Linked DNA regions of Caenorhabditis elegans. The protein of the gene in region 3 purifies or fractionates together with the protein of the main gene of each other region. This does not show direct contact. Each region holds a gene or a part of one and is shown on either strand. Other genes may lie near its edges.

What was found.
Region 1: the proteins of figl-1 (region 3) and Y51A2D.8 fractionate together in Caenorhabditis elegans (co-fractionation; one large-scale study listed by BioGRID). This does not show direct contact.
Region 2: the proteins of figl-1 (region 3) and W03G1.2 fractionate together in Caenorhabditis elegans (co-fractionation; one large-scale study listed by BioGRID). This does not show direct contact.

The regions. Positions count from the first base shown.
Region 1 is NC_003283.11:18,547,465-18,558,410, forward strand, and holds Y51A2D.8 (Cysteine proteinase), read right to left. Parts: upstream 6,387-10,946; 5' UTR 6,383-6,386; coding exon 6,237-6,382; intron 5,836-6,236; coding exon 5,755-5,835; intron 5,397-5,754; coding exon 5,033-5,396; intron 3,989-5,032; coding exon 3,794-3,988; intron 3,667-3,793; coding exon 3,576-3,666; intron 2,872-3,575; coding exon 2,588-2,871; 3' UTR 2,539-2,587; downstream 1-2,538. Other genes in the region: ints-5 (Integrator complex subunit 5), read left to right, coding at 28-346, 1,342-1,560; ttr-24 (TransThyretin-Related family domain), read right to left, coding at 7,997-8,134, 8,215-8,342, 8,930-9,089; ttr-25 (TransThyretin-Related family domain), read left to right, coding at 9,324-9,483, 10,225-10,352, 10,421-10,558.
Region 2 is NC_003282.8:519,907-528,996, reverse strand, and holds W03G1.2 (Ribosomal RNA-processing protein 8), read right to left. Parts: upstream 4,346-9,090; 5' UTR 4,301-4,345; coding exon 4,244-4,300; intron 4,182-4,243; coding exon 3,950-4,181; intron 3,470-3,949; coding exon 3,060-3,469; intron 3,007-3,059; coding exon 2,701-3,006; intron 2,657-2,700; coding exon 2,609-2,656; 3' UTR 2,506-2,608; downstream 1-2,505. Other genes in the region: Putative sphingomyelin phosphodiesterase asm-3, read left to right, coding at 5,258-5,297, 5,352-5,524, 5,584-5,656, 5,872-5,963, 6,119-6,241, 6,615-6,907, 6,956-7,066, 7,119-7,199 and 5 more.
Region 3 is NC_003283.11:4,339,206-4,350,875, forward strand, and holds figl-1 (Fidgetin-like protein 1), read right to left. Parts: upstream 6,795-11,670; 5' UTR 6,792-6,794; coding exon 6,208-6,791; intron 5,505-6,207; coding exon 5,073-5,504; intron 4,062-5,072; coding exon 3,431-4,061; intron 2,560-3,430; coding exon 2,422-2,559; 3' UTR 2,226-2,421; downstream 1-2,225. Other genes in the region: glrx-3 (Glutaredoxin 3), read right to left, coding at 684-1,346, 1,860-2,102; hpo-18 (ATP synthase subunit epsilon, mitochondrial), read right to left, coding at 7,004-7,039, 7,087-7,215; mcm-7 (DNA replication licensing factor MCM7), read left to right, coding at 7,993-8,094, 8,143-8,979, 9,025-10,073, 10,135-10,339; F32D1.3 (dolichyl-phosphate-mannose--protein mannosyltransferase), read right to left, coding at 10,661-10,987. UniProt on the Caenorhabditis elegans protein: Has a role in spindle assembly which acts in the progression through mitosis during embryogenesis. Required for fertility.

The DNA.
Region 1 (10,946 bases), about 14 Mb from region 3:
TTTTCACCAAAAAACCAACCATTCCAGACACGTTGAAATCGCCCAACGCATCGCCCGTTCGCCGTTCTCCGACGGAATCCTGCGTATTCTTGCCGAAACTCGAAGTTTCGCCTACTGCCTGCCTATCATGAAGTCGAAGTTGGCCGTGCTGCTCAACGATACCGAAAAATTCCCCGAACACGTAGCAATTTCCGAGCCAACGCGGCAAAAGCTACAAAACTGGGTGTTTTTGGCGCAAAAAGGCGGGATTTTGCCCGGCAGACTGGCGCCGATTTGCGATTTGGAACAATTCTCCACGTGTCATGAGACACATTTGATGCTCGTCGAGATTTGGCGATTTTTTGTGGTAAAAATAGGAAAAATTTCGAAAATTTTTGAAAATTGACCCAAATTTTGATTTCCGCACCGCCAAAAACTTGGCCCAAACTCGAAATTTTTGAAATTTCGAGCCGATTTTTGAATTCTCCGTGGAAAATTACCTCGAACCCCTTGATTTTCAGAATTTTCCCGCAAAATCCCGTCAAATCAGGTGCCAAGTCCGCAAACACCACGCTACAGTAACCCAAAACACCGGATTTGACTCAAAATTGCACAAAATATCTGAAAATTGAGGGTTAGGGGTAATTTGACCCAGGGAATTCGAATTTGAACTTTATTTTTCGAAATTTTATAAATTAGCGCCTGAAAATCCAAATTTTATGATTTTGGGCCGAGATTTTAGGCCCAAAAAGCAAAATTTCGGCCAAATAACTTCAACTTCGAATACACCGTGTCAAATTACCTCTAACCCTTAATTTTCAGAGTTTTTGTGCAAAATTCCGTCAAATTTGGTGTCAAGTCCGCAAACACCGCGCTACAGTAACCCGGAACACCAGATTTGACGCAAAATTGCACAAAGTTGCTGAAAATTGGGGTTTCCGGGTAATTTTTCACGGGGAATCCGAATTTAAATTTTATTTTTCGAAATTTTGAAAATTAGGGCCTGAAAATCCAAATTTTACAATTTTGGGCCGAAATTTTAGGCCCAAAAATCAAAATTTTGGTAAAATAACTTCAAATTTGAATTCCCCGTGGTAAATTACCCCTAACTCCCAATTTTCAGAATTTTAGTGCAAAATTCCGTCAAATCAGGTGTGGGTTACGCAAACACCGCGCTACAGTAACCCGAAACACCAGATTTGACGGAATTTTGCACTAAAATTCTGAAAATTGGGCTGCGCTAAGGGGGGGGGGGAATTTGGGATGGAGAATTCAAATTTTCACCTGGTTTTTCGGAATTTTCAAGTTTTAAAGTCAGAAATGTCTTTTTTTTTTGTCCAAAAAATTCCGAATTTTTTCCAGGTCCGTCAGCTAAATACCGCCACAATCGACACATATCACATGGAAATTCTACGCGGTGACGTTGACGAGGGCCTGCCCGCCGAAAAAGAATCAATCGATAAAATCAATACTTCTGTCTTTAGAATTATCATTCAAAATCATTTGCCCGACTCGGCCCACTTGTTCCCGAAAATTTTCCCGTTGGAATTTGAATTTCTGAAATTGTGCAAAGTTGAATAGTTTTCGACTTTTCCCCCGAATCTCGCTGTTTTTTTGTTGTATTTTTATTTATTTATTTGTTTTTATAAACTTAATCTTTAAAAAAAAATTAAATTTTTCCTAAAATCTCGGTCCAAACTTCAAAATTTTGAAAATCTGACTTCAAAATCAGATTCTACGCGAAAAATCACTTCTAGCACGCAATTTTCAGAATTTTAGTGCAAAATGTCGTCAAATCGGGTGTTTTGGGTTACTGTAGCGTGGTGTTTGCGAACTTGGCTCCAAATTTGACGGGATTTTGGCCAAAAATTCTGAAAATCGGGGGTTAGGAGTTATTTAGCGCGGGGAATCGGAATTTGAGCTCAGGTTTGCAAAATTTTCCAGTTTGGGCCAAGTTTTTGTTCCAGATTGTCGAAACCCGAAATTTCAGTACTTTCAAACTTAAAATTCCAGATTTTCAAGTCGAAATTCGAATTCTCCATCAAAAACTACCCCTGAACCCGGATTTTCAGAGCTCTAGTGCAAAATGTCGTCAAATCGGGTGTTTTGGGTTACTGTAGCGTGGTGTTTGCGAACTTGGCACCAGATTTGACGGGATTTTGCACAAAAATTCTGAAAATTGTGGGTAGGGGGTAATTTACCACGCGGAGTTCGAATTTGAGCTTAATTTTTCGAAATTCCCAGATTTGGGCCAAGTTTTCGGTTTAAATTTTAGAAATTTCAGCCAATAAGCTGATTATTTCCCAAAATTGCCTCCTCAATCGGATTCCACGTTGAAGATCACCAACTGCTGGTAAAAGCAAGGCACAAAGCAACTTTTTGAAATTTTGGGCCTGAAATGGCCTGAAATGGCCTGAAACGGCCTGAAGTTCAAGTTTTTCGAATATAGTCGATATGGGTGTTAAATCAACACATTTTTTGCGTAGAATTCAATTTTTTAAGTAAAACAGCTTAAAATTGAAGAGTTTTTGTGAAATTTGAAGAAACAAATTTTCGAAAAAAATAATTATTTTTCATTTTTTTAACAAAAAGAAGTGAGAAAAATAAATTAATAGTAATAGTTATCTTTATGATCTTTGATGTCTCCAGTCATTGGTTGATCCTCAATTGAGCACCAATCCCTACCCCTGACCACTCGAACATATCCCGACTCAGCCCAATCGCCTCCCCAGGAGTTCTTGATAATCCAGTAGTCGTGACTTCTTCCACGGCTATCCTCAACGGTATCGTAACCCACAATTGCTCCGGCATGCCATTGAGTAGCTCTTCTACAATCGTCCTCAATGATCACTCCTTCTTTATATTCTTTGAATTGATCGCCGACTTTGAAATCTGGAATTTTTTTTTTTAATTTCGAGTTTTTTCGAAAAACTTGGAGTTTCTGCAGGTTTTCAGCTAGATTTTTGAATTACACGTTAAATTTGCAAAATTTTAACACCCATATCGACTATATTTCGATAAGTTTGGGTTTTGGGCCAATTTCAGGCCGATTCTAGGCCAAAACAGGCCTGAAAAGAAAGTACTTCATATTCAGCAAAACTTTTGAGTTGGTTATTTAATTTTCAAAATTTTGGCACCGACATCGATTTCGATCGGCAAATTTCGAGTTTCGGGCCGGTTTTAGGCCGGTTTAGGGTAAAATTGGCCTTGAAATGAAATGTTCCAAATATTTTCAAGTTTTCAATTGAATGGTAAAATTGTGACACCAAAACAAAAGAATTTTGAGTATTGAGCCGATTTCAGGCCGAAATAGGCCTGAAACAGGTCTTAAAATATAATTTACTGAAATATAGCCAAAATACTTGGCTTTTAATTGAAATTTTTTTTTGGTACACTAACATGGGCTATAGACTGAAAATTTTGAGTTTCAGGCCGATTTTAGGCCAATTTTAGGCCGTTTCAGGCCCAAATTTCAAATTTCTCCAAATATAGCCAATATGGATGTCAAAACTTTGCAAATTTTTAGGAGATTTTGAATTTAATAATTTCAAAACTCCCGGATGTCCCATGTCCCCCAGTTGGTCCCGCCGACTTACAGACAGCTACTGGGACCTTCCACTCGGTGAGCACCTGGATGATTTGTTCTTCGGCTCGGCGTGGGTTGATTACGGCAAAGTTGAAGGCTCTCTGAACAAAATTTGGTAGAAAATTAAAAAATTTGATTCTAAAAAAAGTAAAAATTTTGAAAAAAAAATTTTTGAAAAAAAAATTTTTTTTTTTGGAATTTTTTCAAATTTTCAAATTTCCAACTCACAGCCGGCACAATTCTGTCAGTTTCTCTTAAACGACATCTTCTGCCCTGGTTAGCCCGATTTTGATCGTAAGGATAGTCTTCATCTCCAGAAAGCCCATATTTCTTGACGTACTGGACTCCGAGGGTCAAGCTTCCTCCCTTACATCCCGGTGTTCCTTCCGTACCGCAATCACAAACCTCTTGGTCAGATAGGGACTGAAAATATTCAAAAATTTACATAGAAATTCAAAAATTCAGTGAAATTCTGAAATTCTGCCAAGTTTAACTGAAAAATTTGAAACTACCGTAACTTTGCCAATTTTTAAGATTTTTTTTAGTTTCAAACTGAAAATTGCGCCTAATTATATGATCTGCTATATTTGTAGTAGTCAATCATGAAAAAATGTCAGTTTTGAGGTTGTAAATGCGCTCCAATGAGAATTCTTACAAATTCTGTTGATTTTGACTAGAAAATTTGAAACATCCGTAAATAGGTCAATTTTCAAGATTTTCTTATTTTTAAAAAAGAAACTAGTGAAATAACATGTGATCTACACTAAATACATTGAAAATTTGAAAAAAAAAATTAGTTTTGGGCTTGCCAATGCGTTTCAATAAGAATATTTCAAAATTTCTCATTTTTTGACCCAAATTTGTGAAAAATCGTATCTTGGCCAGTTTTCAAGATTTTCTTATTTTTCCAAAAGAAACTAGTAGAGAAACATGTGATCTACATTAACTATGCACAAAAAAATAAGAGAAAAGTTAGTTTAGGGGTTGTAAATGCGCTCCAATGAGAACTCCTCAAAACTCTGTGTATTTTGACTAGAAAATTTGAAACATCCGTAATTTGGCCAATTTTCAAGATTTTCCAAATTTAAAAAACGTGTACAATACCAATTTTTGCAAAGTTTAATATTAAAATAGTCAAAGTCTAATAAAATTTAGTGTAAAAGCAGTAAACGCACTCCGCTGAGAACCTACTGAAAATTCGTTCAACTTCGCTTTAAACACTTGAAACTAACGTAACTTTGCCATTTTTCAAAATGGAAAACATAGCAAAAAATGTGATCTACGATATATTTACAGAAAAATAGAATTAAATTTCAGGCTAGAGGGTGTAAATGCGCTCCAACGGCAATGTTTTCTGTTTTCAAAAAAAAATCGAAAAATTCGAGTTTTCACGCCAATTTTTCACCGATTTTCCTCGAACTTTCACAGTTTTCATTCAAATTTTTCAAATAATTGTTTTATTTTTACCTTAAACTTTCCAGAATGTGCTGCATACACAGTCTCCACCAGTGCGGTGACCGCGAATCCCCAGCAACACGCACATTGCCCCTGATCCTTGATCGGGCCCACAATGTATCGCCCGTTGATTTTCTCGTTTCTCAAGTCGAAATAGTCTGGATAGCGTGTTGATCTACGCTTATGGCGTGTTTTATTCATGTCGGCCGCGCGAAAATCCGGTTTTTTCTTGTCGAAGTTGAGCATTGGGAGCCCTGTATTGTTGCTGGGCACTACATTGGACAAACGGCCGTGGAATTCGGCGGTGGATAGGTCAGAAAACTTGTTAATGCCAAATTGGGTGTCATATCCGGCTGCTTTTGACTTTGCGTTTAATCTGAAAAAAATTGAAAAAAAACCGAAAAAAAAAAATTTTTTTGAAATTTTTTTTCGAAATTTTTTATTCAAAAATTTCATTTTTAAACTCAAATTTAAAACATTTTCATTATGAAATTCGAAATCTACGCCTCAAATTACCCCTGTCCCGAAATTTTCAACGCTTTAGTGCAATTTTGCGTCAAATCTGGTGTTTTTGGTTACTGTAGCCTAGTGTTTGTGGACCTTACACCCAATTTGACGGAATTTTGCGCTAAATTTTTGAAAAACGGGGTTAGTGGTTATTTGCTACGTAGAATCCGAATTTCGACTCGAAATTTGAAAATTCTGAAGTTTGGGCCATGTTTTTTTTCACTTACTTATCGACATTGTTGTAGGATTTTACGAAATTATTGAATCTCTGCTGATTCTCCGACTCGTCCTTGTATTTTCGGTTGTACCTGTGAAAAATTATGTTTTTTTTCTCAAAAGTGGCTTAAAACGGCAACAATAAGATTTCTGAAAAATTTTAATAGAAATGTTCAATTATTTCTGAAAATCGAAATTTCAACACTTCAAAACCATTTTTTTTTTGAAAAATTATGTAAAAATTCGAATTCTCCACCCAAAATTACCCCTGCACCCTATTTTTCAACAATTTCGTGCGAAATGTCGTCAAATCCGGTGTTTTGGGTTACTGTAGCCTGGTGTTTGCGTACCCGGCACCCGATTTGACGGGATTTTGCACTAAAATTCTGAAAACTCAGGCGTAGGGGTTATTTGCTATGGGGAATCCGAATTTTTAATTGATTTTTCAAAATTTTGAAGTTTGGGCCAAGTTTTCGTTATTAAAAAAACTCACTTTTTTTTAAAATCCTCAAAAGCCTTGTAGAGCTTCTCCGGATGGTCCCGATCGATATTAATTTCAAAAAATTCGGGTTCTGTAATATTGATGGAAACTACCCCTGAAATGGGTAGAACCACCAGGAAAATCACGAAAACTTGCATTTTCGCGGCGAAATTTTGATTGCCTCGGGCTACGGTTGGCTTTTAAGCTTCCGAGTTTTATGGCCGAAATCGTAAAATTTTCCACTTTTTCGGGGGAAAAAGTTGGAAAGATCGGGGTGATTCTGCACATTTCGACATCGAATTTGTTGGGGTTCTTTTATAGATTTTTGGTGTTGACAGGGGGTTGAAAAATTAATTTATGAGCAAGTTATTGAAAATTTTGATTTTTTTCAAGCCTTGTTACATGAAAATTTGGAATCTTCATAAAATTTCCGTTTATTTGACCCCCATATTGGCTATATTCGAGGAAATTTGAATTTCAGACCAGTTTTAGGCCGTTTCGGGCTTTTTGGAGCCCAAATATCAATACACTCAGTTTAATGCCAGTGCGTTTGTAGTAATTTGCCAACTTGTATAAGGAACTACTAAATTGGTTATGTTTGCGGAAAATTGAATTTCAGACCAGTTTTAGGACAGTTCAGGCCGTTCTAGGCTTGAAAACAAATATTGACGGGTATATGTCGATAATTTCAGCAAACGTTTTTGAAAAATTTGAAACTGTGAAATAAAAGTTATTTAAAGGAAAGTTTTGTATTTCAGGCCATTTTCAGGCTCCGGGCCGTTTTTTGCCCAAAATTTCAAAGTTTGTAGAACATAGCCAATATGGGTTTCAAAACTAGGCAAATTTCATGAAGAACACGAATTTTGAGTTCATATTTCTCAAAATTTTACCGGGTGTCCCCGAATGTCCCATAGGTGTCCCATAAGTGTCCCACTCGTGGTTTTCAGGCTATATTTGTCAGAAGTTGCTCTTTTTTTACAGAAACACTTGCATAGATGTAGTTAAGCGTTTATATTGCAAATTAAAACATGAAAAATGGTTTAATTTTGAACGGTTCAAATATTTTTCCAAAAAAAATTTTTTTTTTAATGTACATGGCAATATTTTTTATATCATTTTTATGGATTTGACATTTACATCGGCTATATTTCAAGAAACTGGGCTTGTCGAAATGATTTGGACCGATTCGGGCCGTTTCAGGCCGTTTCAGGCCTGAATTTCTAGATTTTCTGGAACTGCGTTTTCACTTTTAGGTTTTTCTTATTACTGCAAAATTTCTACACTTACCTTGACCTAAATTCGTGGTGCTCATATTTCAAGTCTAGAACGGCCTGAAATGGCCTGAAATTGGCCTGAAATTCAACATTTCATTGTTATGCAAGTTAAATCAAAAGGCTGAAAATTATCTTGAAGTTTTAGGTGAAGAAAATCTATTTTTCAATAAATTTTGAGTTTCGGGCCAGTTTCAGGCCGTTCTGGGCCGTTTTTTGGCCAAAACGTCCAAATGTTCAGAGTATAATCAATATGGGTGTTAAAATTTTGCAAATTTTATGAAGAACACGAATTTTACATTTTTATTGTTTAAAATGTCCCCTGGTGTCCCCGAATGTCCCATAGGTGTCCCATAAGTGTCCCTCTCATGGTTTTAGGCTATATTTGTCAGAATTTGCTCATTTTTTTTACAGAAACACTTTAAAAATTGTAATTAAACGTTTATTTTATGAAAAATGCCAATTAAAACATAAAAATTATCAAAAAATTACAAAAAAAGTTTAATGAATGCAATCAGTGCCCTCTCCTGGGTATCTGTTAGCCAAATTGAGGGTTCCGATGTCGAAAAGTTGAGCTTCTTTGGATCCTTTACCAACTGCATTTTTTGGAACATGAATAGTCACTTTTTTTGGGCAGAGCTGAAAATTTCAAAATTTTTGAATTTTTTTTAAATAGGAAAAAAATCGAATTTTTTCAATTTTTTTCTCCAAAAACCTACTCCAGAATAGTTGCATTTATGATAAATATTGATTTTCGGGTCAATCTTGCGGATTTTATTCTGGGATCCCGAGACCTTGAATGTTCCATCAGCAATTGTTTTCACCGAGTCCATTTTCGTGTCGTAGACTGCAGAAAATTGTATTTTTGTGAAATAAAATGTTCAAAGTTAACATTTTTGTTGTTAAAACTAGGAAATTCAGATTTTCCAGGTCAAGACAAGAATTTTGACACCCATATTGACTATGTTCGGACAAATTTGAATTTTGGGGTGTGTGACCGCGACGCGACCGCAACGCGGCGAAAATTGAAATTGCATTTTTCATGCTTCAACGCGGTAAGTTTTTGAGTTATGATTAATACAACGTCTTTGTTCAAAAATGTTTGCCATTGTGGAGCTTTACAATAATTTTTGCATTTGACACGCGACGCGACCGCACCGCACTCAAAAAACCAAAGTTATCCGAATATAGTCGTTATGGGGGTCAAATAAAAGCTAAGAACGTCAGAAATACAAAAATCGTAATTTTGATCCTTAAAAACGAACTGCTCTAATTTTACGGTAAATAGTGACTATTAGAAACCGCGACGCAACCGCGCCGTGCCCTAAAACCAAAAATTGTCCAAATACAGGCAATATGAGTGCCAAATTGAAGCTAACAGCGTGGTGAGACATTTTCAACTTGAAAAAATCGAATTTGAAACTTTCAACTTACTAGTTCCATCCTCGAAAAGCTTCACACGGACGTCTCTAGCCGGTGCTCCGTTACAGACCAGTTTGCCGACCACAGTGACCGTCTGTTTACTCCCAACAATACCTCCCAAGGCATCAGTGAGCAGAAAAACAGTGGAAATGAGCAGAATTTCTTTGAACATTGCTCAGGAGTCGACCGGGAATCGATAAGAAATCCAGGAAAATGATAAGAAATCAGGGAAATCAGACGAGATGAGAAACGGATAAAAGTCGGCGATTAGGTGATTATCTAACGGAACAGTTGTTGTTTAGTGTAAACATGCCGCTGGGGACCAGAAAAACATGTTTGTCACCCGAAAATCCCATAAAAACCGGGAGCAAAACTCACGGAAACTTCCTGAGAATCTGCTCAAACGATGCTCAAACTTTGTCTGCTCTTCCTTGCGACTTTAGCCGTGGCTCACGGGCTCGGCGGAATTGTTGGTAGAAAGCAGACGGTTACTGTAGTTGGTAAGCTCACTTGCAACGGCCAAGCTGTGAAGGATGTGAAGATCAAGCTGTATGAGGATGGAACTGGTGAGCCATTTTTTTTTCCAGTTTTATGTTTTAATTTGTGTATTTTTGAAATTCTGACGTTCTTAGCTTTCATTTGACCCCCATATTGCCTATAATCTGACAACTTTGGTATTTTGAGTGCGGTGCGGTCGCGTCGCGGTTTCTAACCGTAACATTAGAATAGTTCGCTTTTAAAGGTTGAAAATACGATTTTTGAATTTTTGACGTTCTTAGCTTTTGTTTGACCCCCATTTTGCCTATGATCAGACAACTTTAGTTTTTTGAGTGCGGTGCGGTCGCGTCGCGGTCGCTCAAGTTCAGAAGCAGTCGTAGCAACGAAACAATCAGTTTCTGGAAATCAAACGCGTGTATTTCCTTAATTTGTAGTTTATAGCTCTCATTTAACACCCATATTGTATATATTTAAAGACATTTGATTTTAGCCATGCGTCGCGGCCGCGTCGCGGCCGCTCAAATTTGCAAACAAGCGTATCACTGAGGACTGTGCACGTTTGAAGACATAAAAATTTCAGTATCACTAATACAAACTTAGAAATCTCAAATAAACATTAGTTTATTCAACATTTTGAAGCAAAAAATCACCGTGCGTTGCGGTCGCGTCGCGGTTTAACCAAAATCTTCAAAATTGCCGGAATATAGACAATATGGGTGTCAAATTGAAGCTATTGACGCCACGAGTTTGAATTTTGTAAAATCCTAGCGATCTGATCATTTTTGGAAGCAAAATGCCCCAAATTGCAGTCTATGACACCAAGATGGACGTTACAAACACATTGGCAGACGGAACCTTCAAAGTAGTCGGCGGCCAGAATAAAATTCGCAAGATCGACCCAAAAATCAATATTTATCACAGATGCAACCACGTCGGAGTGAGTTTCAGCGAAAAATTTCGACTTTTTTTCAAAAATTTTACTGAAAAAATTCTCAAAAATTTCAGCTTTGCCCGAAAAGGGTTACCATTCATGTTCCGAAGAACGCAGTTGGCAAAGGATCCAAAGAAGCTCAACTTTTTGACATTGGAGTTCTGAATTTGGCCAATAAGTACCCAGGAGAGGGTACTGATTGCATTCATTAAACTTTTTTTTTGGAACTTTTTGATAACTTTTATGTTTTAATTGGAATTTTTCATAAAATAAACGTTTAATTACACTTTTTAAAGTGTTTCTGTAAAAAAAATGAGCAAATTCCGACAAATATAGCCTAAAACCACGAGAGGGACACTTATGGGACACCTATGGGACATTCGGGGACACCAGGGGACATTTTGAACAATAAAAATGTAAAATTCGTGTTCTCCATAAAATGTGCAAAATTTTAACACCCATATTGATTATACTCTGAACATTTGGACGTTTGGGCCAAAAAACGGCCCAAAACGGCCTGAAACTGGCCCGAAACTCAAAATTTATTGAAAAACAGATTTCCTTCACTTAAAACTTCAAGATAATTTTCAGGCTTTTGAT
Region 2 (9,090 bases), on a different chromosome or scaffold from region 3:
TTCTGGCCTAAAATGTGGCCACTATTCACTTCACTCTTCGTTCCCCTTCGTGACTGGCTGCCCGTCGCCGTTCTTCTCCCAAATATTCACTAAATATTCTCTACGTTTTTGCCTCGTTTATCCCAGCATAAAGCTGCCCTGCTCAATAAACTTGGATTTTCGTCAAACTGTGTACTGTTATTAGCACCGCTCATCAATTCTCCCGTTCCGTCCGTCGTCTTCTTGTCACTCCGAGGCTCTGGCTGCCATCTCGGACCGGAGTGTCAACAGACCTGGTGGTATTGGCAGTTTCTCACTCGAACGAAAGAGGGACAAATCGTTTATTGATGCAGCTCGCTGTTCATGCCGAAGAGAATAAGAAATCTGAATTCTGGTTGCCAGTTCCAAAAAAATTTTCAGGCGAAAAGCAATGTATGGACAAGAACCAAAAATTATTAGGATACTGCAACGAAATCTTCGAATCATTCAAAAATAACAGACAAACAGCGTACAGTTTGACATTCTCCTCCAATTTCTTTGAGAACTTTGAAGATTACACGTTCCATAAAATTGCTCAAACGTTTCGAGTCGAGGATCCAGATCGAATTTGCGTGAACTTTGAAAGCAGACCACTATCGATGGAGCGTTCCGAAAATTGTTCGGCGAAACCGAGAAAATTGAGCGACTGATGGGAGTGGTGAAAGAAGCGTTTGTTGCAAACGACAGTATCATTAGCTCGGTGAATAAATGGAAATCGATCGAATTTCATTGCCCTGTTGAATCACACGTCACTGAGAAACTTTTTCAAAAATGGACCGAAGGATCGAAGTTGGAAATTATTGAAATTCAAGAAGTGGCTCCAAGAAGCATGGAAGCGAGAAATTTGATTCACAACATTTGAATGTACACAAATCATAGTTTCCTATAACTACCATATAAAAGTTTGAAAAAATATCGCAAGAAAAAACCACAAACTTATTTCTCACCCTAATAGTTTCAAATACTCTTCCTGTGTTTCCATACTGTTTTTTCTGTCTAACTATATAACAATTTTCAGATTATCCTTATCGATGGCTTCTCAGAATTCCAAGATAGCTGTCAGACAGTTTACACATCTTTATAAACTTAACTTGATAATATTTGTGTCAAAACGAATATTTGTTGCAGTATGTGAGGAACCAGGTTTTCCTCATCTTTCTTTTGCTCCTGAATTGAAGAAGGATATTGAATCACTAAGGAAAATTTGGAATCTACCGGAAAGCGTTGCCACCCAAAAATGCTTCACAAGCTCGGCTCTTGTTTTTACATATAACAAGGAAACTATGGATGAGCGAATTGTGGGATTGGTGAAATTATTGAAAGATGTATTCAAATCCGAAAATGTGATTGTGGAAATAGACAAAGAAAAACTATTGATGATGTTCGTAACATTACAAACCTCTTGACCACAGCAATGGGTTCCAGGATAAATTCAATGATGGTGGCGAGAGAATTAGTGAATGAAGTCGGCCATATGATCACTGAAGATGAGGTCGGCAGATTGGGAACTGTGAGGAAATGGGCCCCCAGTCCCCCAGAATATGATGAGTTCTATATTGGGTTTGATGATTGGGAAACTGCTTGTACTCATTGTTATTAAACTCGTGCTCCTCTACAAATTTCATTCAAAATTTTGTTGTAATGGGCGAGCCTGAATTATCTTGAAAAACTTACATTTTGCATCTATTTTTCAAGCTGTTCCTATTACAAACTCTATTGTTCAAAGTTTTTTTTTAATTTTCCGGAACTTGTGTAGTATACCTGCCAAAGAAAGTCAATCATTTTGAAAATATAACGTGCCTTTTTTTGTCTATATTAGGCTTAGAATTAGTGTTTTTTAAACCTAAAAATGCATATTAATTTCACTTTTCGATTACCGTATGTTCTCTATTAGTATTGCACCCAAAGAAATTAGTCTTGCAGTCTCTAATAGTATTGCACTGAAAAGGTATCCGGAAATTAGTATCGCATGCAATACTATTAGAAAATATGCCGGAAAAAATTCTCGGCAAATTGTGGTTTCGCACTTTTTTTTTGGAAATTTCAGAGTTTCAATTTCAAATGACAAAATTGTACGCATCGTATAAATGTTCCTACATCTATTTTTAAAAGTAAGCTCTATGAAAATATGTAGAAAAAACAGAAAAAATTCATCCGTCTGTTAAAAAATCCCTTTAAAAATTTCCGGCAAATCGGCCAAAGGGAAAATTGCCGGAATTTAAAATTTCAGGTTTTTACCTAAATTAACTAATGTAAGTACCAATTTCCCTCCCAAGTCCAGAACTAAGCTCCCATCATCATTTTTATTTACTCCACTCTCACTTAAATTTTTTTCAAAAACTTGTATTTATTGCCTTCTTCTGTTATTCCTTACCTCGCTCATCACATAATGATTTCATTGTTTTACTTTCTATCCACTCCCACTGCAAAAATTGAAACCTTTTTCACTTTTTTGCTCGCATTTCCTTATTAAAATTAATAAAAATTTTTAAATTAAGCCCTGAACGCACACTTTATTTATAAAATCAAGGCAAAATCAAGTTCAGTTCTAATTCGATGTGGTTGTATTGGTGGTAGAAGTGCTGGCGTGTCACTTTCCAGAACGAGCGGCTTTGGCCGATTCGATTGGGTTGATTCTCTGAAAATTTTCAATTAGCTGTTCCCCAGCCGGGAATATCTCACCGAGTAGATGTATGTTGCTTCCGGTTCCTGTGTATCAAACTGGACCTTCTTGTCGGAATACTCATCATCCACTTTTCCATCACTCAGCGCTCGAGCACTCTCATGGACAAGCAACAGACTCCGAATCGTGTTGGAGAACACCAGCCCGGTCTCAAAGTGAACTTCATCTCTCTTCTTCAACTCCACCAACGGTTGTAGCTCGTTGAGCACCAGTTTCGTGGGGGGAATGCTTTTGAGACTGAGCTTCTTGTTTCGGTACATCTCCAAATGATCGGTACTCACAGTGATCGCCTCGTCGGTCTCTTTCTGAAATTTTTTAAAATTATTTTTCCTGAGACCTACACAAAAAGATAACTCACCATGTCATCGTCAGTTGGTTCTATTTTTACTGCCCAGGTGGGGACGTCCTGACCCTTGTACACATCTTGCTCTGGTTCCTTCTTAATGTCCTCCAATTTTCGAACGTGATCATAAGAATCCTCAACGGGAAGTAAAGACGTCTTCAGTTTCTTCTTTGAAGTGTTGGTACGGTAGAAAGTGGATGGCTCGTCGCACAACATCATACCATCGGGCTTATTCTTCAATCGATATGGTTTTTTCGGCACTCGATCCATCAGAAGCTTGCTTTTCGCATCGATTGGTTTCGGTTTCGCCGCCGACTTCTTCTTTTCCCTCAACTTCTTATAGACTCGCTCCGTCGTCTTATCATCCACCTCGTGATTCGTGACCTCGATGTTTTTCGGTTCGTTGAGCCGTGTCGTTCCGGGAACTGAAACAGGAAATTGTGGAGGTGTTAGGGTTTTGGATTTTCAGGTAGGTACAAAGATGCCTGCCTACCTACCTACTAAGGTAGGTAGGCATTTTAGTGTCTACCTAAAGGCAGAAGATGAACAGGCAAGCACAATTTTTTTGTTGGAATTTTTTTTATACGTCATTAAATAATTTTGCTTCCACGTGGACGTCGTGGATTTCAATGTTTCAAATTGATTTTTTTTTTTCGAATAAAAAATGTTTCAAGAGTTTCCAGAGGCTTTAAAAATTTTTCATAAGCTTTCAAAAATGTCTAGATGCTCCCAGAAGCTTCTGAAAATTTTTGGAATTTTTCAAAGTCATCAGACGTTCCAAAAACTTTCCAGAATCTTCCAGAAATTTTCCAAAGGTTTCTAAAACTTCCGAACCGTTTAAAAAACTTTCCTGAGCCCTTTAAAAGTTTCCAAAAAAATTTCAAAAAAAAAACACTAGAACTCACTGCGATTTGCATTAGGAATCTCATGATCTTTTACAGCTTCCGGTGCTTTTTCCTTGTAATTCACCGTTCTTGAATCATTTTTCCTTGCTATCAACATCTTTTCCGACTCTTTCGATTTATCCACCGACAAAGATCCACTAGTTGACTTAGTTTTTGTCTTCTTATTTTTACCATGTTGCTTCGACTTTTGAAGTTGTTGCTTTTTATGACTGCGTGCCTTAGATTTCTTTTTCTGAAATTTAATTAGTTCTGGAAGACGCCTGGAAATTGAAAATTTCGAAAATCACAACTTACTTTTTCGTTAATATTTTTAACTTTTCTTCTCGAGCTTTTTTTGGACAATTTCTTCATGATGGGAGAAGATGCAACGCGAAAGTTTCGAAATACAAAAATAATGAAAAAATTCAGAGTGGGGGTAGGGGATGTGATAAGAATCTTCTCGTATTTTTGAAGTTCACGTTTTTTTTAAATTGAACTTTTGGTGCAGTTTTTTGGAGTAATTTATTTTATTTAAATTAAAAAAAAACATTTTCTTAACCTTTCCAATGTACATAAGCACAAATGTGCCACTTGCCTGCAAGGCGACCTATGCCTTCAGGCGAGAAATATGCGGTAGAGAGGTAGAAAAAACGTATTCTGGTTTTGAAGATATATATTAATTTAATATTGCATAACTTTTTTCGGTTTCGCACGAAAATTTCTACACGCCTTTGAAACGGCCTACGCCTGCCTTTTGCCTACAGTAGATAGGCCCATAGGCAGGCAGGAAAGCCCAACTAGTTAAAATGTTATTTTTTAATTTTCAAGTTCACGAAAAATGTTAGTCTGCAGGCCACTAGAACCACCTACACCTGCCTCGTTCTACACACATTCCTAAAATAGGCGGTAGGCAGGCATAAAATTTCAACATTGCAGGAAAACATGCCATTGTTGTAGTTTCTCTTGAAATTTTCGCGCCGATACAAAAATGATAGCTGCCTACTAGGCGACCTGCGCCTGCCTCGTGCCTAAAATAGGCAGTAGGCAGGCACGTAGGCACTTTGTCCAGAAAAAAGGTTTTATTCACATTTTTTGGTGCATTTTCAAGAAAAATTTCTATATTTGAACTTTTCCTCTCCAAAAAGTTATAGTTTCCAAAAAACTTGTAGTCTCCATACCTGATAAGTCGTTCAAAAATCAGTGAGCATTCCCAACGTGTCATCGCCATGTGCTTCTCCCGCTCCAAATTTCTTATCTTTATTACTGGAAACCTCGGCTTCTCCCCCTCCGCCGCTGCTCCCGTTTAACATCAGAAACGATACGGCTCCGATGCTCCTAGGTCTTCTCGTCCTTTCTCTCGCATTTCAGGGTAGAGTTTTAGATTTACATTTTTGTGTTTAAATTCCAGGAAAAAATTTTCCAGGCACCCTCGCGGTGACAGAATGCGAGGAATGCAAGTCAATTGTGGACCTTTTGCAATTTGAGTGGGGAGAAAAGAAGACTGAAGAATGTGTTATGGAAATTGCGGTTTTTATTTGTGAAACGTTCCATATTGAAGATAATGATGTCTGTAACTTTATTATTTCGGATTTCTCAGTGAGACACATTAATATTTAATTTAATTTTAAAAATGTATTGAAAATCAAAGATTTCAGGACGAATTCATGTATGTCATCAAGCAAATTCTCGTGACTCCACATCAACTTTGCGGATTGCTTATGAAAAATGGTAAGTACTACCATGCCTAGGCACAAACATGCCTACCTACATGCCTACTACCAGACCGACGCGTAACAGTGACCCGCCGCCCTAATAGAACATGGGGTGCGGGGCGGCTTGAGAAGATTCTAGTAGACTGCCAAGCTGATCACTATCTTTCAGGCTAGTCACGCATGTAGGCGCGTAGGTAGGCACGATTGCATGCCTATTTGGAATTATTTCAGACTGCGGAGACTTCGTGGATCCATTGGCGACAATTTGGAACATGACGATTCCTGGAAATCAGCCACCATTCGTGCCGAAACAAGTTGTTCCGGTAGGTTTTTTTTTTGACAAAAAAGGTATGCCTACCTATGCCTGCCTACTACTGTCTACTGCCAAATTTTCCGAATGCCACTAGATAAGTGGTAGGTTTGCACGTAGGCATAAACAGGCGCCTACCCCGACACCAACAAAACCTCCAATTTTCAGCCAGGCAACCCAACTCTGCGAGCACTTCACTTGACCGACCTTCATGTTGACATGTTCTACACGGTCGGGCTCGAGGCAGACTGTGGAACTCCGCAATGTTGTCGACCACAAGATATGAATGTGGTATGGTGTTTAATTTGGAAAATTGTTGAGAAAGAGGGAGAAAGAGCAACGATCACAAAGGTTGCTGAAAAATATTTATTTGATAAGGAAGTTGAGATGGGAAGGAGAAGCCCCCGAAGTTGGGGGGTTTCTATTTGAAATTTTTGAATGAAGAAATACTTAACAGAACCTCTACAGAACTCTGCACTTTTAACAAATATGACTATGTAACGCTAGAAAACAAGTACTTGTCAGAAGCATTTCAAAAATTTGACTTCGCGCGTAATTGAAGAGGCCGCCGACCAATCAGCGATGCACAAAGGGCGTGGCTCTTGTCGCTGATTGATCGGCGCGATCCTCACGTAGGCACGTATAAACCCTTAACTTTTTTCAGGAAATCGTTGAAAACGGAGATGTCAAACAACCTGCTGGACCTTGGGGAAGTGTTGGTTCGTGCGACACACCTTATTGGCTTCTCACGAACATGCTCCAAAACATCGCAAGTACCGCTGGAAAACTGGACTACATTATGGTATCCGGAGACCTTGTGTCCCATACAGTTTGGGCGTACACTCCGGAAACCCACTCGTTTATGGTAAAAAACTTGTCGGATACGATTCGCTCGTATTTCCCAAAAACTCCGGTCTACTTTGCAGTCGGGAATCATGAAGGAGTTCCTGTTGATAAGTGGGTGAACTTGTATTCTATGTTTATCACTCACGACCATTTTTACAGTATTGCACCACATTTCACACCGAAGAAGTATCATATGGATTGGCTCTACAAGGCCATGTCAAACGCCTGGCAGGGATGGATTCCAGCGGATCAGGAGAAGAGTTTGGAATAGTTGGGTTTTTTGAAGAGTTTGGGAAAAAAATTGTAAGCATCTCAATTTCAGTAACGGATGCTACATGAAGAAGATCTATGATGGGCTTCGAATGATTTCGCTGAATAATGTTTATGGAGATCGCATCAATTTGTAAGTGAGGGTACGGTGAGGTGTACGGGAGGGGTACGACAGGATACGGTAAGGGTACGGTAAGAGTATGTTAGGAGTACGGTAGTTTTGCGATAGGGGTACTGTCGAGGTACGGTAACATACAATATAGGTGCTTTATGATTAGGGGTATGATAGGTGTACGGTGGGGTCTTAGGCAGACATCATATGGCACTGTTGGGGTACTGTTGGGGTACGGTAGAATACGGTAGGATAAGGTACGGTGGTGGTACATTAAAGGTATGGTGAGGTACGGTTGGGGTACCGCGAGATACGGGAACAATATGGTAGGGTACGGTAGAGGTACAGTATCGGCGCGGTACAAAACGGATGCAGTAGGGACACGGTGTGGTATAACTGGTGTACGAGAGGGATACGGTAGGGAGACGGCAGAGTTACGGTAAGGACACTGTACGATAAGAATACGGTAGGGATACGGTAGGGACACGGTACGTTATGATTGGGGCAGGCTAGGGGTACGGTAGCGGTACTGTAGGATTACAATAATAATGTTTTCAGCTGGCTATACATCAACCAAACTGACCCAGATGGCACCCTTCAATGGCTCATCAACCAGCTCCAAGATGCAGAAAATGTTGGAGACAAGGTACATATCGTTGCACATATCCCTGGATCCGACGGAGAAGCTCTTGAAGGATATGCTCTAAACTATTATAAGATTATCAATCGGTTAGTTTCAAAAGTTAGAAGAGAAGTACGTAAAAATTGTAAATGATTTCAGATACGCAAACACAGTTGTCGGTCAATTCTTCGGGCACACCCACTCTGAAAAGTTCTACATGATGTACGCGAACCCGGATGACTATAAGTCTACTCCAACTAAGTGAGTAACTGGAACTACGGGCTTCAGATAATGTGTTGCGTTTAGTGTGGTCTACTCGGCTCCGTCTGTGACACCCTACTCGGATTATTTCCCGGCTTATAGAATCTACACAATTGATGGGGTCCACAAGGGATCAACTTATGTACGTATAGTGAGAGCTTTTATTTCAGGAACTTTATATATTTCAGCAAGTAATCGACTATGAGGAATGGTTCTTCAACTTGACATCCAACAATGCGAATCCAACAAATGTGAAATGGGAAGTACTCTATCAAAGTGCCAACATGGAATATGGTCTTAAAGGACAAATCCCGACGGAGTATAATCAAATGATTGAGAGAATGAAGACTGATGATAGTCTTTTCAACAAATATTACGAGTAAGTTTTTTTTTAGATTTTCAGACATAATCTCTTTTATATTTTCAGAAACCACAATCGTCGTTCGATCTACGATGGTCGCGCGCCATGCAACGATCAACAATGTCGAAACGGTTATCTTTGCGACGCCCGTCAATTCCATCAGACCCAGCAGCTGTGTACCGATTTGGAGGGAGGAATTCAGAAGCCGGAGCCCAAAAAAAATAAGTATTCTGCACGATTTGCCACATCAAATGAAAGACGGCGTGGAAAGGAGGAGTGCAAGATTTGAATGCGATTTTTTTTTTTGAAATTTAAAATCCTACTAATCTCCGGGTCGTGTTGAATAAATTAATTTGTATTTAACACTGGTTTTGTCAATGTAAATTTATTATAGAAAAGAAACACAATTTGATATAACTTTTGGCAAACACGGAATTCTGGCTTCCCTCATAAATTGAAATGGAAGAGTTTGCCGAACTAGGCCATTTTGGCTCGGCGATATCTGGGGTAGATTTACGGCGCGTTGCGTGTCGCGTCGCGGCTCGATTTTAAATAGTTGTAATACTAAATGTATTTGTCCGTGTGGAGTACACGACTTTGTCCGGCGGGCGACTGTCAATGAAGCGCGAAAAATTCAATGAGGAAGACACGCGCAACACTATTATATT
Region 3 (11,670 bases):
TACCACAATGACCAAATATCACCGTAAGAAACTTTATTAAATTTTTTTCTAAATTTTATATGATTTTTTGAAAATTGAAAAAATCTCAGTTTGAGTCGAATTCCAATTTCAACCTCCCGCCAAGTGATTTTAGCGATGGAGCGCGCTTGCTCGTTTTTATTTTTATTTATTGTGTTTTTCTTCTTCTTATTTTCCACCGATTTTTCATGTTTTCAGTGTATTTTTATAGGAAATTTGAAGGAAAAGTCAAGAAAAATGTAATTTATCGATTAAAAATCAAAAATTAAAGGCGTAAAAGCCTGAAATAGTTCAATTCAAAGATTTAAGCCTTTAATGTTGATTTTTAATCGATAAATCACATTTTTCTTGACTTTTCCTTCAAATTTCCTGAAAAAATACACTGAAAACAAGAAAAATCGGTGGAATATAAGAAAAACAATAACAATAAATAAAAACAAAAACGAGCAAGCGCGCTCCATCGCTAAAATCACTTGGCGGGAGGTTCAAATCGGAATTCGACGAGATTTTTTCAACTGAGATTTTTTCAATTTTCAAAAAATCATATAAAATTTAGAAAATTTAAAATAAAAAAATTTTACGGTGATATTTGGTTATTGTGGTACCAAAGGCATGTTTTAAAGCAATTTCCCCATATTTTTCGACAACATTTTTTGAGAGCTAACCTTAAGCCCTTGCCTGACTTCCTCATCCTCCAAGATATCAAAAGTATGATAATCAGCACGAGCCTTGTTCAACAAATCAACGATAGTTCGTGAAAATCCGCACTTTGGTGTCTCCCGATCTCCTTTCATAAATAGCATCAATCTTTGCGATGAGACAAGCTTTTTGAGTCGATCTTCAAGTGATCCCCCCTCACTATTTTCTCCAACTTTCGGAAGTTGCTTGATAAATTGTGGATCTGAAAACTCCTCCTTGACGACATCAAGCCCTCCAATCAATTCTCCATCGAAATAGAGTTGAGGATAAGTTGGCCAATTCGAGTATTCCTTTAATCCTTGGCGAACTGCTTCATCCGAGAAAATGTCGAAGGATCCGAATTTGATTTTATGTGAATTTAAAAGTTCGACAATAGTTCTCGAGAAACCACAACGTGGCGCCGATGGATCTCCTTTCATGAAAACCATGACTTTTTGAGAATTGACCAGCGCACCCAATCTGGCATTTAGAGCTTCCTTTTCTTGTTGTGGAGTCAGTGAAGGTGTGGAAGAGGTTGTAGATGAAGCATCCGATGAGCTCTGGGAAAGGGATCGGCTGGCAACAAGAACAACTTTTGATTGGATCTCTTTTGGCACGAAGCCATCGATTCTGTCGACTTCTTTGCCATTCTGAAATTAATCATTTTTTATTATGAATTGGATGTATTGTAAAATTTCGCTTAAAGGCGCACGGAATTATTCAGATGGGTCTCGGCACGCAGAAAAAGTTTATGGTAGTTATTTCTTGCATTTTTCAACGAAATTACTTTGTTTTAGCGTATTTTATCGTTTTCTTTTCATTTTTTTCTGTTAAAATTTTTAGAAACCAGTTTTTTAGGTACAAATAAACATTTTTAGCAGAAAAATGGAAAGAAAACGAAGCAATTTTTATTGAACATTGCATGAAAAACTACCATAAACTTTTTTGCGCGCCGAGACCCATCTGAATAAATATTTTGTAAAATAGGACTTTTTGGTTTTTTGTTGGTATTTTAACGAAAAAATGATTTCAAAATGTGGTTTTCAGTGGTTTTTAACGTTTTTCAATGACTTTTTTCCTAAAAAAAAGTTCAGAATAAATCGAAACTTTTCTTTGTTTTTTTTCACAAATTTCAATTTCTTGTTTTTTCGTTGCTCACTTACACTAAAAAATACAAGCGTCGGCGCAGCAGTAATCTTGAAATTCAACGAAATTCCGGGCAAAGCTTCAGCGTCAATGAAGGCGGCACGAAGCGGCAGAGCAATTTCAGCGAGCAAATCATCCAGTAGCTGATTAACTTGCTCACAGCTTGGAGCCCACGATGCGTAGAAATGAAGAACAGCTGGAGATGGTTCCTTAATGAACGCAGCAACCTCCTCTCCTGACTTGATTTCTTGAATTGGCATTCTGGAATTTTTTGGCTGGCAATGGTAAAAAGCTAGAAATTTGAATAAAAAAATTAAAAAAATATACGAGAAAGGTAAAATAAACCTTGAAATTTCAATAATGAATAATGAAAAATATGTTTAAAAATTGAAAATATATAATAATTTTCAGAAAAAATATAAAAAAAAACAATGAAATACGGATCGTTTTGAGATCATAATATAGAAAAGAGATGGAATGCATAATACAGGAGAAGATTTCAATGAAAATAAAAATAAATAAATAGAAGAAGTGGATGGAATTATAGTACACATATTCGACAGCTCAATTCTGAAGGTCTCAACGGGATATTGAAGGAGGTGGAAGGCAACCGAATTTTTTGTCCCAAGCCGCGTAGGCATCCAATTGAGAATCGTCGACTGTTGGCCGAACGACACGAGCTGCTTCGGCGAAATCCATTACAGTAACGGCACGAATCTGAAATTTTCATCGATTAGTTGATTAAAACCGGAGCATTTGATGTTTCAGAGCTCGAGTGTTTATCTAATTTTTATGATGACCGAGTGCAAAAATAGAAAATAAATGTGACAATTCGTACGGCAAATGGTAAATAAAAAATAATAAGATTCGTCAGTCATGTGAGAGAGTTGCGAAATTGTTTGTTGTTGTGGCATGACATTTCATAAATTTTCGAAAAGTGTTCATTTTCGGAACATGGAGGTGTTTTATTATGTGGACGGAGGAAAATGAGATTTTTTAAATTGAGGTGCAATCGCGCTCTAACGCTAAACATTGGGTCTCGTTATGTATAAGAGGAACATTAAATTTATATAATGCGTATTGTGCAACATATTTGACGCGCAAAATATCTCATAGCGAAAACTACAGTAACTCTCTAAATGTCTAATGTAACTCTTGTGTCGATTTACGAGATTCATTGTTTCGAAAATCGTACCCGTAAATCGACACACGCGCTACAGTAGTCATTTAAAGAATCACTGTAGTTTTCGCTACGAGATATTTTGCTCGTCGAATATGTCGTGCAGTACGCATTCTCCGAATTCAGTGTTACCGTAATATTGGCGGCAAATTCAAGTTTTTAATTCGATTTTACTGAAATCATCCGTTTATATGCATTTTTTGATTTATTTTCAGTTGCTTTCTGGTTTTCATGCCGAAATGATTCTTGAAAATGCACGTGAAGCTTCGATATTAACGCATAATCAAAAGCAATGGGATTTTTTTTCTTCCTAACGAGACCCAGCATTATGAGGCGGGGCAATTTCAATTGGCCGTGGAGCGCGATTACACCGATCACAAGTGTTTGATATTAATTCAGAATCCTCACATCATCCTTATCAATCGTCTCAATATCGTCTCCAATGTCTCTGATAGGACCCATCGCTGCTTCAGTGCACAATTGCCTCATGTCAGCTCCAGAATAGCCGTCTGTAAGCTCTCTAATCCGCTCCAAATTATGATTTGTGATATCATGACGCGTGCCTACAAGTAGATTCTGCACAATTTGTGTGCGCGACTCTGGCTCCGGAAGCGCAATGTACAGTCGCTTCTGGAAGCGTCGACGAGCAGCTTCATCCAACTCTTGTGGCCGATTTGTGGCACCCAATACAAGAAGCCGTTCATCTGGAGCCGTATTCACACCATCCAACTGTACCAGGAACTCTGTCTTGATGCGCCGTGAAGATTCGTGTTCCGATTCCGACCGGGATGATAGTAACGAGTCGATCTCATCGATGAAGATAACACTCGGAAGTTTCAGACGAGCAACTGAGAACAGAGCACGAACAAGCTTTTCACCTTCTCCAACCCATTTTGAGGTTAACGACGATGCTGAAATATTGAAGAAAGTGGCTTTGCACTGGGAAGCGACACATCTCCCGATCATTGTTTTTCCGGTTCCTGGTGGTCCGAATAGAAGAACACCTTTCGGTGGAGCACGGATTCCGGTGAAGACGTCACTGAAAAAAATTATAATTGTCAATTAAATTTTTGGAGGATTTTTTAAATTGCTTTATTAGACTCAAAATTGTCTGAAAACACCGAATTTTATAATGAAACTTCTTGAAAAATTCTCAAAAAAAAGTTATGACGGCTCAAAAAATGGCTTAAAATTAGTTAAAATTTGAAATTTGACTTGTCAGCGGATGGAAACAATTTTTTTGAAATCACCGTAAAATTTTGAGTATACAGGTCAATTATCTTGCGTTTTCAACTCGATTTAGGTATTTTAAAGTCGATGGACGGCGAGATTAAAATTGTTTTTTTTTACCAAATCTCGCCGTCCATCGACTTTAAAATACCTAAGTGAAGTTGAAAACGCAAGATAATTACATTACATACTCAAAATTTGACGGTGATTTAAAAAAAATTGTTTCCAGCCGCTGCGACATTGACAAGTCGGTCAAATTTCAAATGTTAACTAATTTTAGGACATTTTTTAAGCCTTCATAACTTTTTTTTGAGAAGTTTCCAAGTAGTTTCATCATAAAATTCGGTGTTTTCAGATAATTTTGAGTCTAATAATGCAATAAAAAATTCGACTACACCACCTTTAAAGGAGGTTTTTTTGCGTGTATAGACTAAAAGCACAAAATAAGCGTTCAAAACCTCGTAAAAATAGCTAATTTTATCTAAAATCTCGAATTTCGTCTATTTTTCCTGTCCGCATCAGCTGAAACACTATTTTATTGAATTATCATCCTTTTTAGCATCTTTTGGTGGTTTATATCACATTTTTTCGTCAATTTAGGTTCATTTAAGTCGATAAAAAATTAAACAATTAAATTAAAAACACCTATCGGCTTTAAGTGTACCTACGTCAACAAAATAATGTGAAATAAACCACCAAAAAAAGTGGAAAAGTTGACAAAAAACGAGATTTTAACCAATTTCAGCCATTTTTGAGCACTTTATGAGTCTGAGCAAGCTAAAAACCCGAAAAACCCTTTTTTTCTCCTTTCAGAACGTACGGTCTTTTAAATGGCAGTACAACAATCTCCCGTAATGCTTTTTTCGCTCCTTCCAATCCAGCAACATCAGCCCATCCGATCTCATTGTTCACAGACATAATTTCCGATTCAATCAATGAAATGATATTTTCATCAAAGTGCTTTAGCGTTGGCTCAGCTCTCAATCCACTCATTTTTTCATCTTTTCCACCTCCTTCCGTATCCATTCCCATCGCCTTTCTGATGAGCGGATTGGAGCATCGTTTCGGGATATCCGGTGCTCTTCTGGCCGGTGGTATCCCTGCCAAGCTTCCAATCGATTGGGAACTGGATTGACGATCCAGAGGCACTTGGAACTTGCTATTCTGTGGATCCTGGCCGGCTGCAGTCGTAAATGATGGATAGAGGGTTCCGAGGGTATTTTGGATAGCTGCTCGGTTTTTCGTAGGTGCTCTGAAACGACGCTTTCATTTTTAAAAAAATCGATTAATATTACGGGAACACAAAATTCTGAGAATGCGTACTGCGCAACATATTCGACGCGCAAAATATTCTTTTTATGACTACTGTAGCGCTTGTGTCGATTTACGGGGGCTCGATTCTCGGAAAAAAAACAAAATTTTCGAATTTTGACAGCGATACTCAATTTTTCTTCGTTTTTTTTTCGAATACCATGGTCATTTTTGTGCTTATTTTTAATATTTTATCTATTAATAAATTACTTTAATTGCAAAAAACTCCAATTTTGGCGTTTTTTTGATGAGTAAGCTCATACAGGCGTATTTTTATATTATTTCCCGCCTATTACGGCAATAAACGGGAAATAGTGTTAAAAAAACGCTTGTGGAGTATTAGAGTATTATCATCAAAATGACGCGAATATTGGAGTTTTTTCAATTAAAATAATTTATTAATGGAAAAAAAATATTAAAAATAAGCACAAAAATGATAAAGGAATAGGAAAAAAACGAAGAAAAATTGAATATCGCTATCAAAATTCGAAAAATGTGTCTTTTTCCGAGAATCAAGCCCGTAAATCGACACAAGCGCTTCATTTAAAGAATTACTGTAGTTTTCTTTTTCGCTACGAGATATCTTGCGCGTCAAATATGTTGTGAAATACGCATTCTCAGAATTTCGTGATCTCTTAACGAACCTGGTCTTCTTAAAGTGCGGATTTGAAGCCACCTCGATGCCTTTCAGCGTATTTTCATGCATTTGCCGAATAAAATTCGGATCAGTTCTTCTAGCATTTGTAGGATCCACTATATCGCAGATTTTGTCTCTGATTTTCGTCACTTTATCGTCGCTTCCAAAATCGAAGCCTCGCATTGTGAACGGCTCTTCTCGGCGTTTTTCCTCCTTTGGTTTCGGAATTTCGCCAAGTTTGAAGCTGCTTTTCTCGCCAAGAAACGGTCGACTTTTGAGCTTCCGGGTGTCTTGTTTTTGTGAAAACGACACATCAACGGTTCTATCTTCGTCTTCATCAATTATTATCCCGTCTAGCTCGTCATCCAGACCATTTTGTTGAGAACGAGATTTGAATGGAGGCTGCTGCTGAGCTGAATCCGAAGGTGTCTCCACGACTATTTTTCGACGGGGTTTTCCGATAAAATACGGACTAATCCCATTGCGAGCAAGAGCCGTCGGTGGGTAAAGATCATCGTTATTTTCGCCGGTTTCGGGCCGTTTTCTCATTCCACTGGTCACATTGAGTTTTACCCGTTTTGGAGAATACATAATCTGAAAATAGTGTTTTTTGACCTGAAAACCCCCACAAAAAAATATTCAAAAAGACTGGGGTAACTTGAACAACTTAAAGGCAAAGGAATAATTGAGCTTAAAATTTATATCGTCTAATAAAATAAATCATAAACAATCGGAAGTGAGAGAAGAAAGGTATGGAATGTATCCAAATGGAATTATTCGAATACTGTTGTGCGATCATTTGTCTACTTTTGCTGCTTTCCATTTTCCCATGTGGTGATCTGAAAAATTCGTGTTAAAACTTGAATAATAAGGCGTATTTAATCACCTTGAGAGTTGCCTCTGGCTTCTTAACAGCGGCCTTTCCTCCGACTTGCTTGGTGCACTTGCGGGTGATCTCGGCAGCGATTTGCGAGTAACGCACGTAGTTGAGTCCAGCGGCTCTCCAGGCGACCATTTTCTGAAAAACATGAATAAAAAAGAAATATTGGAAAAAAGCGACTAATTTTGCACAAGAAAACAAAGAAAAACCGCAATTTTACTAATGAAATCTATCGATTTTAGCAATTAGAAAAGCTATTTTACAATTTGCGATTAAAAAACATTAATTTCATCTAAAAACAGCCAAAAATCAATGAAAAATCACAATTCTACTCTTGAAACAAAAAATGTGTCGTTTCTGCAGCAATTTATCGATTTTCGAAATTATAAAAGCTATTTTACAATTTGCGATTAAAATGTACATTAATCCCATCTAAAAACTAACAAAAAACCAAGAAAAACCACAATTTTACTGATGAGACAAAAAAAAACATTTTTTCTCAGAATTGCCTGTCGTTTCTGCAGCAATTTATCGATTTTAGCAATTATTTTACCAATTTTAATTAAAATAAACATTAATTCCATCTAAAAACAACCAAAAATCAATGAAAAAACGAACAATTTTCTTTAAAAACAGCTAAAAATGGCACAGTCCATGTCGGAAAAATATAAGTTAAAGGCGCATAGACTTTCGCACTCTGGTGGGTCTCGCAACGACATGAAGGAGGCAAACGCGCGAAATTCGAACGGACGACGCTGCCATCTGCCGCACATTCCTTCACTCTCTCGCTCATTTATTATCGGTTTTGTGCTACAAGAGCAGCTTTTTTCGCGATTTTTTCAGTTTTTCCAATTAAAAAATAAAATTTCCATCATTTCAGCCCGGCTCTATAATCCTATAATCTCACTCACCATGAAAACCACCACTTACAACACAGACTGGGCTGCCGAGAAGACGAAAATTCGCAGTTTCTTCGACGAATACTATGTGGACAATGAGGACGGATCTGGAAAGGTATTCCCGAATTTGGTGTATAAATGAGTATTTAAATTCAACTTTTAGGCATTCCCATATCGTGATCAAGTCTTTGAAATTGCTCGCCGCGACAAGCAGGCAATCGTTGTGAATGTTGACCATATTAAGGAATCTGATATTCCAGATGCTCTTGAACTCTCAGAAGCCATTACTTCCAATACAAAGAGATACGAAGTCCTGTTCAAGGACACAATTTCGGATATGATCCAGGACTATCTCGGAGACAAGCAAGCGCCAGTAATCGATGCTCTTGATGCCTACATGTTCCAGCGTCTTCATATGGATAGGAACGAGGGAGCCGCCAACGAGGAAGTTTCTCTTCAGGACAAACGCAAGAAATACCCACCACAGCTCCTTCAACGCTTCGAGGTCTACTTCACAACGGACGATGCCGCCCATGAAACGTGTGTCCGAAACATCAAAGCCACCGAGATCGGGCACTTGGTCTCCATGAAGGGAGTTGTTATCCGTGCGACCGAGGTGAAACCTTGTGTTGAAGTCATGACCTACACTTGCGATACTTGTGCCGCCGAAGTCTATCAGCCTGTGAAGGGAATGCAATTCACCCCACCGGTCAACTGTCCCAACAAGGAATGCGTTGAGGCAAAAGCCAACGGAAGACTTCACATGCAGCTTCGTGGATCGAAATTCGTCAAGTTCCAAGAGCTCAAAATTCAAGAGCTCAGCGAGCAAGTCCCAGTAGGATCGATTCCTCGCACAATGACTGTTCACGTTTACGGGGAGATGACGAGAAAGTGCAATACTGGAAATGTCGTGCATGTTTCTGGAGTATTCTTGCCAATTATGCAGTCTGGCTTCCGACCAACTGGAGGACTCGTTGCCGATACCTATTTGGAAGCTCACGTAAGTTAAAACTTGAAAATTATCAAATTATTCGTTACTCTTCAGTACATCAACAATCTTGACGACAACCCAACTTTCAATGGAGTTCAATCCGCCGAACTGGAAGTTCTCCGTCGCAAAGGAGACAACTACGAAACTCTTGCCGCCTCCATCGCTCCGGAAATTTTCGGCCACGTTGATGTTAAAAAGTGCCTTTTGATGGCTCTCGTTGGAGGAAATGACAACAGCTCGAACGGAATGAAAATTCGTGGATGCATCAACGTTCTGATGATGGGAGATCCAGGAGTTGCTAAATCTCAACTTCTCGGCTACGTGAACCGGTTGGCTCCACGATCTCAGTACACTACTGGTCGTGGTTCTTCTGGAGTTGGTCTCACGGCCGCTGTGATGAAGGATCCCGTCACTGGAGAGATGTCTCTCGAGGGTGGTGCCTTGGTGTTGGCCGACGGAGGAATTTGCTGCATTGACGAGTTCGATAAGATGATGGATCACGATAGAACTGCGATCCATGAAGTTATGGAGCAGCAGACCATCTCGATTGCCAAAGCTGGAATCATGACGACACTCAACGCTCGTACGGCTATCATCGCCGCTGCCAATCCAGCCTACGGAAGATATAACCCAAATCGTTCCATTGAGCAGAACGTTGATCTTCCAGCTGCACTTCTCTCCCGTTTCGATTTGATTCTTCTCATGCAGGACAAGGCTGATCGTGAGAACGACAAGATTCTCGCTGAGCACATCACATATGTTCATCAGCACGGTTGCCATCCAAATCGTGAGAAGAAGGATCTCATCTCGCTTGAGACACTTCGCGAGTACATTTCTCTTTGCAAGACGTATACTCCAACTGTCGATCCAGCTCTTCGAGAACGTATTGTCGAGGCATACGTTGAGATGCGCAGAGATGCTAGATATTCGTCCGATCCAACATTTGTGTCGCCAAGAATGATTCTAGGAATCGTCAGAATGGCGACAGCTCGTGCTAAGCTTCGTCTATCCACGATTGTCGACGAAAGTGACGTTGAAGAAGCTCTCCGTTTGATGCAATTCGCTAAGGACTCGCTCAGACCAGAACAGAACAAAATTGAGAAGTAAGTTTTCAGAAAATTATTTATAGCGAATATTTTAATCATAAAATTATTTTCTTTTCAGGCGCATGGCTCCAGTCGATGCTGCATTCGCCGTTCTTCGTGAGCTCTACCATGCCGACAACGCCCCGATCGCCATCTCAAACGCCATTCAAAGATGCGCTCGCAAGGGAATCAGCGAGGTTGCTCTCAAGAAATGCCTGGATCAATACACTGCTAACGGTCTCTTGGTCATGGATCGCCAGAACATTGTGTTCGCTATGAATTAAAATTAATTGTATAATTTCGACGAATTGCCTTTTTAATTTTCACCCCCTCCCACATTTAATCACACACTATCTAAATAACTATCGTAAGATTGTACTATGTTTGACAATTTTCACAATTTTTTCCTTCAACACATTCGTATTCTGATCTCAAATTTTTTTCGTTGTTTTTTTTTGTTTCGCCTTTACGGAGAATGATGCCGATGAGCATAATAAATTGATTATGGAATTAAATTTGGAATAGTTTATTTCAAATACACGTAGTTTTCAGTAGATTCTAACCCGTAAGTAGTCACCGATTTTAAAATAGTTATTTAATATTAATTACAAATTTCTTTTCCTCCGTAAGATCCGAATCACTTTCTTGCGATTTTCTCGTGCCACGTCACTCGTTGGATCCAAGATCAGTGCGATTTCGTATTCTTTCAGAGCCAAATCGTACTTCTGATTAAGATGAAGAATTGCTCCGTAGTTGGCGTGAGCCGCATACGAATTCGGTTGAGCTTCCATCACTTTTCTGTAGAAAGTTTCAGATTCCACGTGGTTCTGAGTTTGTTGCAGAAGATTCGCGATTCCTTGCAGAGAGTCGAGATGAGTTGGATCCAGATGGAGAGCTTTTCGATAGAAGAGCAACGAGCGATTGTAGTTTTGCTGAAACGGATTTATTAATGATTTGTTTATTGTGGAGACGCAGAAAAATTCGCTTTTTAAATCGAGGTGAAAGCGCGCTCCAACGCCAAACTTTGGGTCTCGTTAGGTATTGGCGGGAAACTCAGAAATTCAAACATTTTGCCATTTTTAAATGTGTTCCGTTGTTTTTTTAATGAGACACAAGACAAAATTAGGGAAACCGCGCATTTTTAAATAAGCTTTATTCCAACATAAACTAATTTTTAAGGAAGAACGCAAAAAATATAAATAAAAACGTAAAAGGCTTCAAAACGGGTAAAATGGGCGAAAATAATGGAAAATGTTCAATTATTTTCTCCGATTTTGCCCGTTTTTTTACTTTTTCCGTTGTTTTGAACCATTTTTATATCACAGGGACACAAAATTCTGAGAATGCGTATTGCATAACTTATTTGACGCGCAAAATATCTCGCAGCGAAAACTACAGTAACTCTTTAAATGGCTACTGTAGTGTTTGTATCGATTTACGGGCTCGATTTTTTTGAAATGAATTTCCGTTCTAGCTGTGACAGCTATATTCAATTTTGTGTTTTCTTTTAATATTTCATCGATTAATAAATGACTTCCGAAAATCGACACAAGAGCTACAGTAATCATTTAAAGAGTTACTGTAGTCTTCGCTACGAGATATTTTGCGCGTCAAA